3 linked regions of the Drosophila melanogaster genome follow. The protein of the gene in region 3 purifies or fractionates together with the protein of the main gene of each other region. This does not show direct contact. Each region holds a gene or a part of one and is shown on either strand. Other genes may lie near its edges.

Region 1 (3,933 bases), on a different chromosome or scaffold from region 3:
GCAGCATCCAGCGGAGACGGCCTGCAGAAGATTGTAAATTTTATACCATATACGTCATACAGAAATGGGTGTACTGGTGCACTGAGGGAAATCGTGCCCTCGGATGCCTTTAAATAACTCTTGAAAAGCTGAAGAAACATCCTTTTATTTTGTACTTCAATTTAAAGAAATCATCTATTGATCATCTTTTGGAATCTCTTGCTTTTACCCATTAATTTCTCTGAGTGCGTATAAAATAGAAGAGAAATATCAGCCCAATCAAGCTGTTTTAAAAGGAATTCCCTCATCTGAAGAGTCCCCTAGTTGAACCCACGACTCTTCTCTTTTTTGAATACACATCTTCGACTTTTATGCATTTATTGCTGTGAAAAAATGTTAATTCTCGACGTTATATTTTTATTTGACTTTTACATATCGATCTTCTCGCCCTGAGATCTCCATCTCCATTCGACCATACATAGTTGGCTCTTGGCCATCCTTATGGCCATATATTGGACTGACTGAATTGGTTGATTCGCCTCGTACTGGTCTACTGTGTATTAATTGGTCAAAGGCAGTAAAACAGAAAGTAAACGTTATAAATCAATCGTGGTATGAGTTCTTTTGAACTCTTCAAGCGGCAAAATTCACAGGGAACTGAAATGATTGTATTAACAAATAAGTCAAAGGAACGATGCTAGTAAGCTAAAATCGATGCGAGTAATTTGTGTTTATTCTAACTTAATTTATTTATAGACTTATAGATTAAATCACCATAAGTTGCATCCGAAAGAATCGCATCTCAAAGTAATAAAAACTAACGATATTTTTATCAACTCGACGCCATAAATATGCCCGTTGCGATATTCTTATTGTAAATTCTCGAATTGTCTGCTGATTAAATTTACTTATCATTTTGTCAGTTTCTTAATATAGAATTCATTCATTAAAAATAGGGCTGATCTTTTAAATTATCTAATACGTTTTTGTATCAATACTATAGCTATACATGCTATAAACTATTTGACTTTGTATTGCAATGCTCATCCATACCAATATTAAAATGATTAAAGTTGTAAATTACAAAGCAGGAATGTAGTTCGCTTTTTTCGCACTGTAAAATTCAGTAAATGGGCATAAATCATAATTTACGTACTACCTTTTAGTCTAAAGTGAAGGTGAAGATCCATCCATCCGGTTGATGTTTCCATTTGGATTTTCAAGTTCAGATTGGATAGGATCGGATCGGTTGGCCGGAGACAGTTTGGGCTATTGTGTGCGGGAGTTTGATTAACACAACATCCACTGGCCGAATCTTTATTAGTGACCATGCACTAATTAAGCCCTGTCGTGTGATTTGGTCTCCTCGCATTCGCATTCGTTCGCGTTTGTCACTCGATGCAAATGAATCGCGTCTCTGTGGAGCAGAAGATCATAAAAGCCGCTAAAAGGTGTGGGTGAAAAGAAAAACAAAACCCCGGCCAGCCAGCCAGCGGATTCAGTTCTTTTGTTGATCGAATTGATTAGAGCTGCGGCCGAGATCGATACGTTTGTATATTTCGGATGTGCGTTGCTGGCCAGCGAGGGTGTAATTAATCACAACACTCAAGTTCGTCACTTGACCGAAGTGTTAAGTGCGCTAATAACGCCAATTTGCATAGACCGACTTTTACCCATCAACACGATTACAATTAAAGTGTATTTCAAATAGTGCTGCGTTGTTGCTATATATATAGAAATATTTTGTTTAAATAATCAAATTGGATTGGAAAATTTGGAGTTCATAATTTCAAATCGAAATTCACTTGTCGGACATGCCGCATTTTTGTACCCTGCAATGGTTTGAAACCGAGCTAAAATTTATGTGGGTCAAAATGGATTGAATCCATGTTAGCATTGTCTGGAGCTGCCATCCTGATTTCTACACATGTAAAGAGTTGCCAGTCTGGTTTCTACACTACTGGATTCTATTCTAGTCGATAAGTTGCTTTCTATTCGATTATCTTGTCAATTATCGTCGATATCGAGTAGGCATCGACACAAGTACCAGCTCTAATTCGCACGGAATTTGTTTGTCATTCAAGAAACAATTATAATTCGCCGCATTTTTATTCTAAAAGCGCTTACGAATATGGTAAGTACCTCGCCGAGTGCATTTAGTAGAGCCGCTAACGAAACGAAAACCCCTCGCAATACAGTATCAGCCATCACTGAAAGTCCAGCCCGCCGAGGTGTCCGTGCTGAACGCCACCGGCCGTGTGGGAATGCCCACCGAGGCCAACTGCCTGAACCAACTGGCCCACGTCCACCGGCTGCGCGACTCGGAGCTGAACTACAACGAGCACCAGTACAACCGCAACATGCAGATGCTGCGCAACCACGAGGGCCTCGGCGTGCCCCTCAAGATGGGCATGGAGCGCTTCGCCGCACGTCAGGTGGGCCGCCTGCCCTTCCTTTCGTCCAGGTGAGCATCTAGCCCGGTCTGGGAGCTTCTCAGTCTGGACAGGAATCTCTGCAAGGGCGGAAGCATTCAGAAATCTTCTGTTTCCACATTATAAGAATCCCGGAGAAACCTGAGATATCCTACAATCTAGAAAATCTAAACTTCTTGCCTAATAATGGATACCTATATACGTACATACATACATACGTGTATACCAAGTATACCTGTGATTCCCATAGTACCATTATTACCGAAAACCCAGCAATGACTACTTATCTTCTATATTAATTCTTTCCTTTATATTGCAGCAACTTCATGGACGATGTCCTGACTGGCCGCTGTGATTCCATTGGCTTCGAGGACTTCATGAACTTGCCCGAGAACAGCGAGCATATGCGTCAGCCCCACGCTGTGGTGGAGAAATCTCTGGGAATTTACCAATAAGTCCCTGCAAATGAAGTTGCTAAATGCCTGGCATTCAGCCTTTAAACTCTAAGACACTCTTAAGATCAGCAAATAAAATATATTTTGGTGCGACCAGCTAGAGGTAAACAAAATTCACCATTTCTTTGAGCCAAATTTATTCGTATTTCGTTTGTTTAACTCCACATCAATACATTTAACTAGTTCGTTAAACTTACACATTTTATTCAAACAAATCTAAAAACTACACGAAAATATTGGCAGAAGGTTGTTGTACTGAGGAGATTCGTTAAAATAATAAACTGAAGAGATATGCGTTGACATCATTCATTATTTGTAAAAATAAAACAAGAGATGGTAAAATGGACGAATTCGTTTCGTAAAATTAGGCTTATACTTAAGGAAAACTGAATTGTAAACGGAGGGCGCATTTCAACTTATACAAACATTGCATATATACATGATTTATATTTAAAGAGGAAAATGACAGTAATTGAGATAAACATAGTTAATAAAACGCATTACATTCCTCAAGCAAAACACGTCTAATCAACAATAAATATTGAAATCGCTAGCGTTTTAAATGCTCTTCGCTAAATTTGTATTGTGTTGCGAGTTTAAGCTTCAATTACTGGAATTATCCCTTTAATTGTGATGATAGGCATTCGATTTTTATAGTATATATTCTTCAATATGCATAAAGGCGCAATTGCAAAGGGTCATGGGATTCTAGTAGATCCAGTTGACAGGCACCCACTGCTCCTCGTGGCTCATCTGATCCAGCGTTTCCACCACCTGGCGGAACGTCTCATCGAAGTCCTCGTTCACGATGACCATGTCGAAGTATTTCTCATACTTGCGCTGGACGAAGCTGCTCTCCTCGACGGTGGCGACAAGGTCGTCGTCCTGTTCGGAAAAGTCATAGAAAGCGAATGTGTTAAGCAATGTTTGGGTATTCAGGCAGAGATCTAACAGGGCTACTAGGGTGGCCTAGGTGCGCCAAGCGGATGATTGAGTTGAGCACAATTTATACGACACTGTAATTAAGGATAGGTCAGGGCACATTACCTCATACAACGACGCTAGGG
Region 2 (7,579 bases), on a different chromosome or scaffold from region 3:
CTGAAATTATGCAACATTTTTACAGCCTTCAAAAACATGAAAAGCCTAAAAGTGTTTTAAAAATCCAAGACTCTAGTAGCTGCATAAAATAAATAACCCATCAAATCATAATTCTCCAATGAAGAGGTATTACTTAGTCGGATACACGAAAACCACCTGCCAGTTAAAGAATAAAATGCTTAAATCAGGTGCCACAGTTCGATATGTTTGTGCTGTTTATTTCGACAGATCTACGTGCCTTCGAGCGTGTATATGATAGATATATAAATATATATGTATATATATATATAGTTGGTATTGGTATAATTGTTTACAAAAAAAAGACGCCTAGCAAAACAAAAGTCCATATAAAAGGACGATACACGTATATAATACACTAAAACAGTTAACATCCTTTCGATTTTCCATTCCGATTTGGTAGCACTAGTTTCGTTCGTTTCGTTTTTTTTTTTTCTTTTTGGAAGCCACATTCTTGTCCTGCATCCGGAAAACTTCGAGCCCAAATACATATGTAGGATATATGTGTATATATCGGAATTATCACAAATGCTTATGATCTAGCTAAAATAGCGTATAGTTAGGCTTGCTTCAAGCGCGCTGGGATCGTGAGTTGCGTGTGGGTGGTGTCTTCGACCAGCTTTGCTCCTCGGCGCTGGCGAAGATCAGGTAGATGAAGTTACCGGCTATATTCAAGCCCGCCGCCAGCCAGAAGACCAGATGCCACTGTGTCAGAGTCTCGCGATGATTGATGATTAGACCGATGACATACGGAGCCAGGAAGCCACAGATATTTGCCGCCGAATTGGTGATGCCATACATGGTGCCTGCATATCGTGGACTGAGCGCTATGTGATTCATCTGGTTGCCAGCATAGACGGCGCCGCCGAAAGAGCCCACGCCGGCCAACATAAAGGTGACCCACACCCAATCGCAGCCCACATAGATGATGCCAATCAGGCCCAGTGATGGCACCACGGAGGCCACCGTGTTCCACAACTTATACGAGTTCAGCAGCGATATGTAGCGTCTGGCTAGCATCCAATCCGCCAGGGCGGAGCAGGCAATGCCCACGAACCAGGAGGTTAGATACGGCACCGCATTGAGCAGAGCATTCGACTGGATGTCAAAGTGTAGGATGTTGCTCATGTAGGTGGGCAGCTCGGTTAGCTGCGTGTAGAAGGCCCATCCCTGGCCGCATTGCGTCAACAAGATGGCCCACAGAGGTACGGATGTGAGCAGCGATGACCAGGGTATCGGTTCCTCCGGCGGCGCCCGCAGACTCACTTCATCCTGTCCCTCCTCTTCCTCGGCCTCCGCTAGATCCTGATTTATTAGCCTCTGAACCTGTAGACTCCTTTCGATATACTCTCGCTCCGATTCTGAGATCCTGGGATGATCGCTAGGCTTGTCGTACACCAAATACATCCATGCGATGAACCACAGAATGCCCAACAGTCCGAAGATGTAGAAAGCCGACGGCCAGCCACCCAGGAAGTCCAGCGAGCACAGCCATCCGGCCAGCGGCATGGAAATGACTGTTCCGATATTGGAGCCCGCATAGACGATTGCGGCGAACTTGTTCCTCTCCAGCGGCGGTATCCAGTGGGCAAGCATGGCGTGCATAGCTGGATAGGTGACGCCCTCGCCCATTCCCTCCAGGATGCGGACCAGGACCAACAGCGGCAGATCCCAGTGGGCAGCCAATGGAGTTATAAGCGTAAAGACCGCCGTGATCAACACTCCATAGCCGTAGATCTTCTTCCCACCATACAGCTCGGCCATCCGTCCGCCGGGCACTTGGGTTAGCACATAGCCATAGAAGAAACTGCCGAGCACCAATCCCTGCGTGGCCTCGTCCCACACAAACTCGCCCTCCTTCTGCGGATTGGGATCGCTACCATTGTGATGTGGTGCCGGTAGTGGACACGTGTCCGTATCAATCACCGATGAGTTGCTGTGCGGAATTGCCGTTTGGTTCACCATGGCCACAATGGCCACCGACAGATTGACCCGCATCGCGTAGACCACGGCGAATCCCAGGAAGCCCATGAATCCGAAAATGTGACGCGTCTTTGGGCCACAGCCATGGTTTTCTGCAGGGTGGAGAGAGGAGAGAGTGGATGGTTAGTAAGCTATGGTTTAGGAGGCGTAATAACGATATCAGTTCCGGTTTTACTTAAAAGTTCTCGCCGTTCTCGATAAGGCCCAATGTTACACTGAAAATCCCTAAATACCATTCAATGTGTTATCATTGCATAGTTTAAATTGCCTCAATTTCTTCACTTTTTTATTCCTTTAGAAATGTTTACATGAGATGCCATTGCCAGTGAATTTAATTTCTTTTCAGATACTTGTTCATAGGAATCGCTCAAGTATAAAATCTAAAATAAAAATATTACGATCTGATACCATCGAAAAAGTTATCGGCCCTCCGTTCCATTTGAAATGCAGATTTGTACTGTTCTATAAAGTTCAGAAAAACTTCGCTTCATATCAGTAAATGTAAACAAGTCGTAATTTCGGCCCTTGGCGAATAAATTATACATAGGCATAGGCTGTTAACTGGATAACTGGATAGTATTACGTGAAAATTAAAATTTATGCGTAATTATTAGGTTATTTTATATTATATGTATGTTATGTTATATGTATAAAAACATTTTAATTATTTTTATTAGTTATTGAAATCTATAAGCCATATAATATCTTACTTTAAGATTAAATGAGAATTATTATAAATTGAAAGATACAATTTTAGAGTGTCTTGGATATACGTAAAATGAAATTTGTTTACAACAAAAAGTATCTTTGCGTTGAGTACTGTTTTTTTTTACACAGATATTCCGAGAGTTTATGTTTAATAAAAGTACTGACCCAGGACATATGTATGTACAATACATAAATGCAAATCAATATGAAGCAGAAATAGCACTAAAGATTTAAATAAATAAAGGTATCTTGAGCTTGTAATACGCATATCTACGTTGCTCCACCTACATATGCTATAGCTAGGTAAATATCTTTCCCCATCTGTGTATCTTGTAGCTACTCACCCTCCGCAGCGCCGCTGGAGCGGATTAGCGGTCGTTCGCCGGAGCAAAACGCCTCCCGTTCGTCGTCCGCTTCGTCGTCGGAGCGCTCCGCCGAGGCGGATGAATTGGAGGAGGTGGATGGATCGTAGTAACAGGAGGCGTCCCGCGACTCGTCCGTCCATTTGTGCGGTGGCATCGTGGCGCTCTATTTGGTTTCGTGGATTCCGATTGGAGATGTTGGTGCTTGGCGGTCTGTGCTTTTCGAGCGTCTTTTGAGCGTTTGGAACTGCAACTGCCAACGCATTTTCTCTGCCGGAGCGGCAGCTGTAGTGTAGTTATTGTATTTGTATCGCCAGCGGTGGCGGAAGCGGTTTGCTTGTCCACCAAAATCAAGAGCCGTGTGAGCGGGAGCGGGAACGGGAGCGGCAACGCGAGCGGACACCTCACCACGCCAGCGGGAACCAGCGCAGACTGACGGACTGGCAAATGGCAACGGGCAACGGACAGCGCAACAACAAACCTAAGCAAAAGGCAGCGCCAGCAAACGTAGCTTCTAACCACAAGAGGGGTAACAGTGGCGTAGTTGTGGGGTGGCGAGCCAAAATCACAGAGGGGATTCCTCGAGTGAGAAGAGTAAATACTTTCTGGCGATAGAATGATGGCGTAGTTCTTTGGGAATTTCAGTCATTGTTTAGTTGCCCCTTTTGCTGCGCCACTGCGTTTGGAGTCACCACAGCTCGCTCCCTCTCTAATGGCTGGCTCTGTGGCGTTCTCGCTCTCTCCCGTGTGAAAGTGGAGCATGAATGGTGCGGCGCTACGTCACAGAAGGGGATGCAAGAACGAAAGAGAGTGGGTGAGAGAGAGAGCATTAGAGAGGGCCAAAGAGAAAGGGGGTGATGTGCGAGAAGAGAAGAGAGTGCAGTGTGAATTGTATTGTTGTGAACTAACTTAAGTATACTATCTTTGTTTAGTTACAGTTAGTTTACACACACACACAAACTATAAACGGCGATATGGTATATTTGCCAGCACTGAAAAATTACTATTTGTAAGAAAATAAAAACAATAAAACAAAACTAATTTCCAGATAGTCGAAATCAAAAAGGGAATTTGTACTAAAATCTTGAGAATAAAAACAACGAGGAGAGAAAGGCAAAGTATACTTTAGTTGCCAACACAAATACACGCACACTCAAACAACTCAGGCTAACACAATAGCTACGTTTAAGTAGCCAAGCTCTTTTAATGTATGTAAGTCAATTCAAGCAGGCTCTAGTTAGAGAACAAAAGAAATGAGCAAAAACCTAAATTCCACACATAGTATGTACATTTCTACATCTGGAAATTTTTCCATATTTGTTGTCCGTTTACAATGAAATAGATAAGATAAAGGGTTAAGTTGATCGATCGCTGCGTAGCTCGCACAAAACAAAATGTTCTTTTAAAAATTTTCATTGAAATCATTACCAGTTTATCAGTTAAATGGTTCATTTACTTCATAGTATGTTAAGTTTACTAAAATGAGCGCTATTATTTTGGCCCCAAGTGTATGAGTGTGCCCTTCAACTGCTTCCATTTAAACTGCTTTGCAGGATTTCTATTTCTGGAGCAGCACTTGCGCATGTCCTGAAAAAATGCCTGTTGCATGCAGAGATTCGTGGACCTACCCCAAATTCCCACAGATGCATAAAAGTTGGCTGATGATTTTTCAGTGGACAATTATTGACAGAGTATCAAAAAAACAATTCAGACTCAAGGACCTTTTCGCAATACAATTGGAATATTATGATGGTTGCAAAATCAGATAATTTCTAAGTTAAGCCACATTAAATGCTAGTTGTTTGACATAACTCCTAATTTAGTTCGATATAATTCCAATTGAACTGTCGAAAAGGATGCCCCAAGCTACATGTAAAATGCTTAGAGAGGTATTTTAAAGTATGGCTTAAAAAGCACCTGGATGTAATTCCTTCCGGATGTGATTCGTCGCCGTCGAAGTCCAGAACTGTCACTCTTCAGTTGCCGAAGATGGTGCCCACGGGAAAGACGACGATCCTCCGTTTGCCGCTCACCACCAGCGATTCATAGTGATAGTTCTTGGCCAGCAGAACATCGTTGCGGTCGGCAGCAAAGGATTCCCAGATGGGATCCAAGTCCGGATTGAAGCAATTAATGGCCACAATATCGCTCGGTAGTCGTGGTATCAGTTCGTAGGCGCAGCCCAGCTTCTCATTCCACAGACTAACTTGGCCGTAAGGTAGGGGATCCCTTTTGGCCAACTGGCCGGCCTCCTTGGCTGTGCGGAATGTGTGCACCGTCACCACTCCCGTCGCTCCATTGCCCAGATAGCTGTGCACGCAGTCGTACACCAAGACGGGTGATTCCCCAGCCTTAAGGCTTTCGCCTTGTACTGTCTTGGCCTTCAGCTCTTCGATCTTGGCCAGCGTGCTGGTGTAGCTCGGATGCTTGGACACCTCCTGCGACAACGGACGCAAATCCTGCGCCACTAGGCCCACAAACTGATCGGCAATGCTCTCCTGGAGTAGCAACGTGGCCACCGATCCCTCGGCAAAGGGATTCTGCAGGGACTGGAGCAACTGGTGGCGCGCTGAGTGCAGATCACCGTCCTCGAAGACGACCATCAGCTGGGGGGAGCGCCACTGGGGTGCACTGGGAATCAGCGCCAACTGCAAGTAGATACATTTTTGAATTTAACATATGTATGTAGGTGCTCCGATAATCTCACTGAGACACAATCCGTGTGCCAAGGAGATCAAGGTTATGTCCGATATTGTCTGACTGACCTTCGTTTCCTGCGCCGTCGGCTGCAGCTGGTTGACCATGTAGCTGGTGATCCTGGACGGCTGGGACTGGGTGAAGTTGCTGGCCATGCTCTGCGAATTGAAAACTTGAATTCAATGGAATCGCCCGATCAGCTGCGTTATCAGCGGCTCACGCAAACATACACACACGCACATAAACAGACACACACGCACACACACATTCACATGCAGAGAAGGAAGATCGCTGATAAACTAAAATACCAGTTATTGGTATTATTCAGTATTTAACACGGCCTGTCGCATTTTATAGCTACGGTCACACCGAAATAATAACTGGCATGTATAAGCGGAACAGCGACCGGTCACATTGGCCCACACATCACAATTTTAATTTAAATTGCAATTGGTCGTGTTGCTGCGCTGACGCCTTCCAGCGTATAAAAGAAAATAACACTTTTGCCCCCGGCTAGCTAATAGTTGTTGACATCACTCGTTATTCGCCGTTCATTGTTGACGCCCCCGTGCAAAGGCAGCAACAACAACAGCGATTGCCAAATATTGCAGCAGCAACAACAAGAACATTTGGAGAACGAAAGAAGACCAACAAGTGCGCGCACACACACACACACGCACAGACGCACACAGATACACTCATACAGTGAAGCTATTGCGCTTTTAGCACCAATTGAAAGTGAATTGCAAGTGAAAATAGACGCAAAGTGGAACGATTTCAGCAAATTGTTGCACACGAAAATAACAAAACAGCTGTGCGACTCATTTTTTTTTGTGTTTTATTGTTGTTGTTGTCTGCGCCGCGTGTGGCAGCAGCAGGAGTGGGAGTGAGAGAGCGGTAGCCGCTGCAATAACTGCATTTGAGTGCGAGCGAGAAGGAGCAGGAGAGCGACATCATCATGACCGACCTCAACGAGCTGATGGGATCCCCTTTTGTGCGTGTGAAGGTAAGCAAGCAGTGCATGCGATGCGGGAGACGAGATGCCGCTATTGCACTGCACTGGCCAGCAAGCAGTGCACTGCACTCACCCCCCTCATCTTATCCAACAAACAATTGCAGCCATAAAAATAGCAATGGGCGACTAGGAAAACTCATAACTCATGACAAAAAAAAAAAAACAAAGAAACAGATAAAAATTCTGAATAAATGAAAAAGTCTCATTTAAATTAGGGGAAAGAATAAACAGGGTAAATAGATAACATATGGTACAGCTGCGGTCAAAATATTAACAGCAGGGCGGTTCAACTGGCTGGGTGGCACACATAAACAGAAGAAACAGATAAAGAATTTTACGGAAGCGGTCAAAAAATTAAACTGGGCGTATGAAACATACGTGTTTGTTTTTTAAGGAATAAAAGCCATGAAAAGTAGATAAAAACTTTTTTTGGAAATTTACTTACATGTGTTTGGATGCTTATTTTGCATTCAAAGTGGATATAGCTACATATACATACATATATCGGCAAATATAAATTACTTGTTGTAGAACGAAAATAAGTAAATTAATGCCATCGTTATATGTATAAGTAAAAAATACACATAAATGACATTGTATGTACAGCTGGACTAATGCAACTTGTGTGGGCGAAATAAAACTGCTTGAGCGAAATTTACAGCTTACGGGAAAACCTTATAAACTAATTACATCGTTTCACTAAAAACATTTTCCAATTGTGCAGTTTTCTGTCCAAGAATAAATATTGTTATTTCTATCATAATACAATCCGTTTTTTTTACCATAACATTATAAA
Region 3 (3,105 bases):
CGCGGTTTACCTGTCCATCCAGCTGATTCCACTGTGGCCAGAATGTGTCGCTGGGCAACGGCGGATCAGCCCACACCTGCCCGCCAATATGTGGCGCCGTGTACGCAGGCGGGCAGTAGTCCGGGAACGGCTCCGACCAGAAGACCTGTTCGTCGGAAACTGGGTACCGGAGGACTGAGCTGCGCGGATACATGTTGTTGCGGCACATTAGGTGCCGGAAAATGCCCGGCTTCACCAGCGATGACATCATTTGGGCGGAGGTTAGCGGGTTTTCCAGGATCAGTGGCAAAAACAGAAGCGGCAGCAGTGCAAACTCGAAACTCGTCATTGGACTGAATTCTCTGAGAGACGAACACTAAGAAATGATTTTGTTAACGCACACCAGCGGGCACAAACTTAGCTAGCAAAATGGATTTGTTGGTACGGGGAAAGCTGTACTATTCGCACAGCCTCTTCTGTGAGCACTGCTTGGGAACGATTTATTTCTAGGACCAGCTGGTCACACTAGGCCGCATATTTTAAATCTCAAAGATTCGGTTTATTACGATGTTTTGTTGTTTTGGGTAAATACAAAAATTTGAAGCCAACTAACTTAGAATGCCTGGTTTCCACCGAATGCCCCTAACCAAAAGAAACGGCAACATCCTCGCCACAGGCTAGTCCTGACGCAGCGTCAGAGTTCGTACTTCAATTCCATCTTTGGTTATGATGTTGATCAGCACAGAGTCGCCGGTGTAGATGTCGCGCTCAGCGGCAGAGATGAAGGTGTCGGAGGCAACGCTCACGGCCCGCTCCTTGGTTAACTTGATCTTGTCGGCGTCTTCCAAATTCATGTTCTTGTGACCAATCTGGTTGTCCAGCACCGGTTGCAGCAGGGTGCCGGCAGTGCCGCCGGCGCGGTATGTAGCCTTCTCGCAGTGACCGATGGGATCGTAGGAGTAGACGACGCCCTTGCCCTCGTTGTCAATTCCAGCCAGAATGTTCGACACGTAGTACGGGAAGAAGCGGCGATTGTACATGGCGATGGAGAGCATCTGGGCCACGGCCTCAGTGGTCATGGTGCGCAGATGGGTATGCTCGTAGCTCTGCATGCGCACCTTAATCGATCCGGTCAACGAGAGCGTGTCCGCCCAGCAGCCTGCGGAACCCAACACTGTCTGGGGCGAGAGTTTAAAGAGTTTACTCTGCGTTCGCGAGTGAATGTTGTAGCCGCTGCTCAGGCGGGTGTCCGCTGCAATTACGGCAAAGTCATCTCCGGCGATGGCCACAATGGAGCTGTAAACAGGGAAGACTCCGGTTAGATGGAGACATTCTTCCACATCTCGATTCCGCTGGGAAATAGCAACTCACCCGCCATTGGACTCGTAGGGCGAGAAATCAGGATGCTTCATGCCGGGCACCTGGTAGTCCGGGAATTGCTCAAAGCCCAATCTGCTCATGTTTTGTGCTGAAATTCACCAATTAACTCGCCAAGTAAAAAACCAACGAAATGATTTGCAAGTTTGCAAGCGGCTAACCAAAATCACAAAATCAATGTGACCGTTGTTGAGCATCGGATCCAGCCTGCTTAAACGTTATCGATAGGTATACATACGTCGGTTTGGGATATTTTTATTAGCAGGAGGTATTTATTTAGTAAACATTTTTAATTTAACATATAAATAAAATAACAATATAAAACCTAAAATTAATTCCAATTTGTACCATAAACTTGCACTCCTTACGCGTTTTTGACCAAATATATACATTCAGATACCATAAACGAAACGGCAAACTAGATTTGATTAAAATGTATATTTTAATGAACATTTCGGTTATTTTCAACAATCTTTGGATAAAATAAGGGCAAATATTTGTTTTAAGCTATAGCGGCCATGTTTTCAATACGTTCTCTTTGCAACTGCCCACGATTCTTCTCCACCAACGCCTTGACGTCATAAAACCATTTACCTGCGGAAATATGTAAAAAGTTCGTAAAAAGGTACAAAACCCGAGAAAGAAACCTTATTTACCGATGCTGGTGTTTTGCAGACAATCCTTGAACGTCTGACACCCCTCCATGCTTGAAAGCACGCCGAAAACCGATAGATCAGCCAGACTTGGCTGTTTTCCGCCCATGAATTTCGTGTTCCTCTTTTTCAGCTCAGTGGTCCACTGGTCAAGGGCATCGTACATGTGCGACCTGACGTCGTCGCTGAGGGCGTGACGGCGCTTCAGCATCTTGGCTATGGCCCACATGGCGGTGGCACCACAGTAAACCATCAGGTCGCGCTCCCATTTGGGGAAGTGAACGTCCCACTCGCCAGCTTGCGAGAACCACTCAAAAGTCTCTAGGGACTCGCCCATGGTCTGATAACAGTTGGGCGATATTAGATGCACCAAGTGGCTGTCGGCCCAGCTTCTCCACTTGCGATCGGTTCTAAGAACAGACACTCAAGGTTAAAAGATTTGATTAAAAGATTACTTGACCCTGGTTAACTTACTCATCCGTTTCCTTGGATACTCCCTTGGGCGTATGCTCGCGGTACATGAGGAAGTATTTATTCAATATGTCGTTCTTCTTTTTGCCATCATCGTCGAAGAAGGAGGTGTGCGGATAGAACTGTGCCAGCTCGCCGATGTCGGTGCGCTTGTCCTGCAGGTGGGTGGCTATAAGGGATATGATGGCACTTGAGTCCACCATCTGGACGTATTTGCCGTCCTGCTGTCGGATGAGCACCATCGGCACCTTCTTCACCGACGACCAGCGGATGTCCTGCCGTAGGACGGCATCCACTTCGACCACCGCATAGGATATGCCCATGTAGTCGAGGAAAGCGCGCACCTTGCAACAGAAGGGACACGTCTGGAACTGGAACAGCACAATGTCCAAACCGGACGTGTCCTTGGGGTTGACATAGCGCTTGGTTATCCGCACTCCAGCCGGAATCCCGTCCAGCCGCGTCGGCTTCGTCTCCTCGTGCTCTTTGTGCGAGCTGCCGTCTGTCCACCGCTGGTACATCGTATACACCGATCCGGTGGCCGCGCCTACGGTGGCCCCCAAAACTGCGAGCTTGAAAGTTCCATTCGGCTTCTTTCTGCCTCCGCCGTTTTCAACCGCTACAG

What was found. The genes of interacting proteins can lie anywhere in the genome.
Region 1: the proteins of Prosbeta6 (region 3) and Pomp purify together in Drosophila melanogaster (affinity purification with mass spectrometry, with the first as the bait; one large-scale study listed by BioGRID). This does not show direct contact.
Region 2: the proteins of Prosbeta6 (region 3) and CG15717 purify together in Drosophila melanogaster (affinity purification with mass spectrometry, with the first as the bait; one large-scale study listed by BioGRID). This does not show direct contact.

The regions. Positions count from the first base shown.
Region 1 is NT_033779.5:20,785,673-20,789,605, forward strand, and holds Pomp (pomp), read left to right. Parts: upstream 1-1,983; 5' UTR 1,984-2,110; coding exon 2,111-2,113; intron 2,114-2,177; coding exon 2,178-2,443; intron 2,444-2,730; coding exon 2,731-2,866; 3' UTR 2,867-3,426; downstream 3,427-3,933. Other genes in the region: vari (varicose), read right to left, coding at 3,575-3,751, 3,914-3,933.
Region 2 is NC_004354.4:13,127,446-13,135,024, reverse strand, and holds CG15717 (uncharacterized protein), read right to left. Parts: upstream 6,008-7,579; 5' UTR 5,924-6,007; coding exon 5,837-5,923; intron 5,720-5,836; coding exon 5,048-5,719; 3' UTR 4,989-5,047; exon of another isoform or gene 4,735-4,988; intron 4,033-4,734; exon of another isoform or gene 3,847-4,032; 3' UTR 3,229-3,846; coding exon of another isoform or gene 3,054-3,228; intron 2,094-3,053; coding exon of another isoform or gene 589-2,093; 3' UTR 460-588; downstream 1-459. Other genes in the region: MFS10 (major facilitator superfamily transporter 10), read right to left, coding at 589-2,093, 3,054-3,228; CG32638 (uncharacterized protein), read left to right, coding at 6,727-6,774.
Region 3 is NT_037436.4:16,608,880-16,611,984, forward strand, and holds Prosbeta6 (proteasome beta6 subunit), read right to left. Parts: upstream 1,540-3,105; 5' UTR 1,440-1,539; coding exon 1,351-1,439; intron 1,276-1,350; coding exon 657-1,275; 3' UTR 521-656; downstream 1-520. Other genes in the region: CG4098 (uncharacterized protein), read right to left, coding at 1-328; Su(P) (suppressor of ref(2)P sterility), read right to left, coding at 1,859-1,950, 2,013-2,419, 2,484-3,105. UniProt on the Drosophila melanogaster protein: Non-catalytic component of the proteasome, a multicatalytic proteinase complex which is characterized by its ability to cleave peptides with Arg, Phe, Tyr, Leu, and Glu adjacent to the leaving group at neutral or slightly basic pH.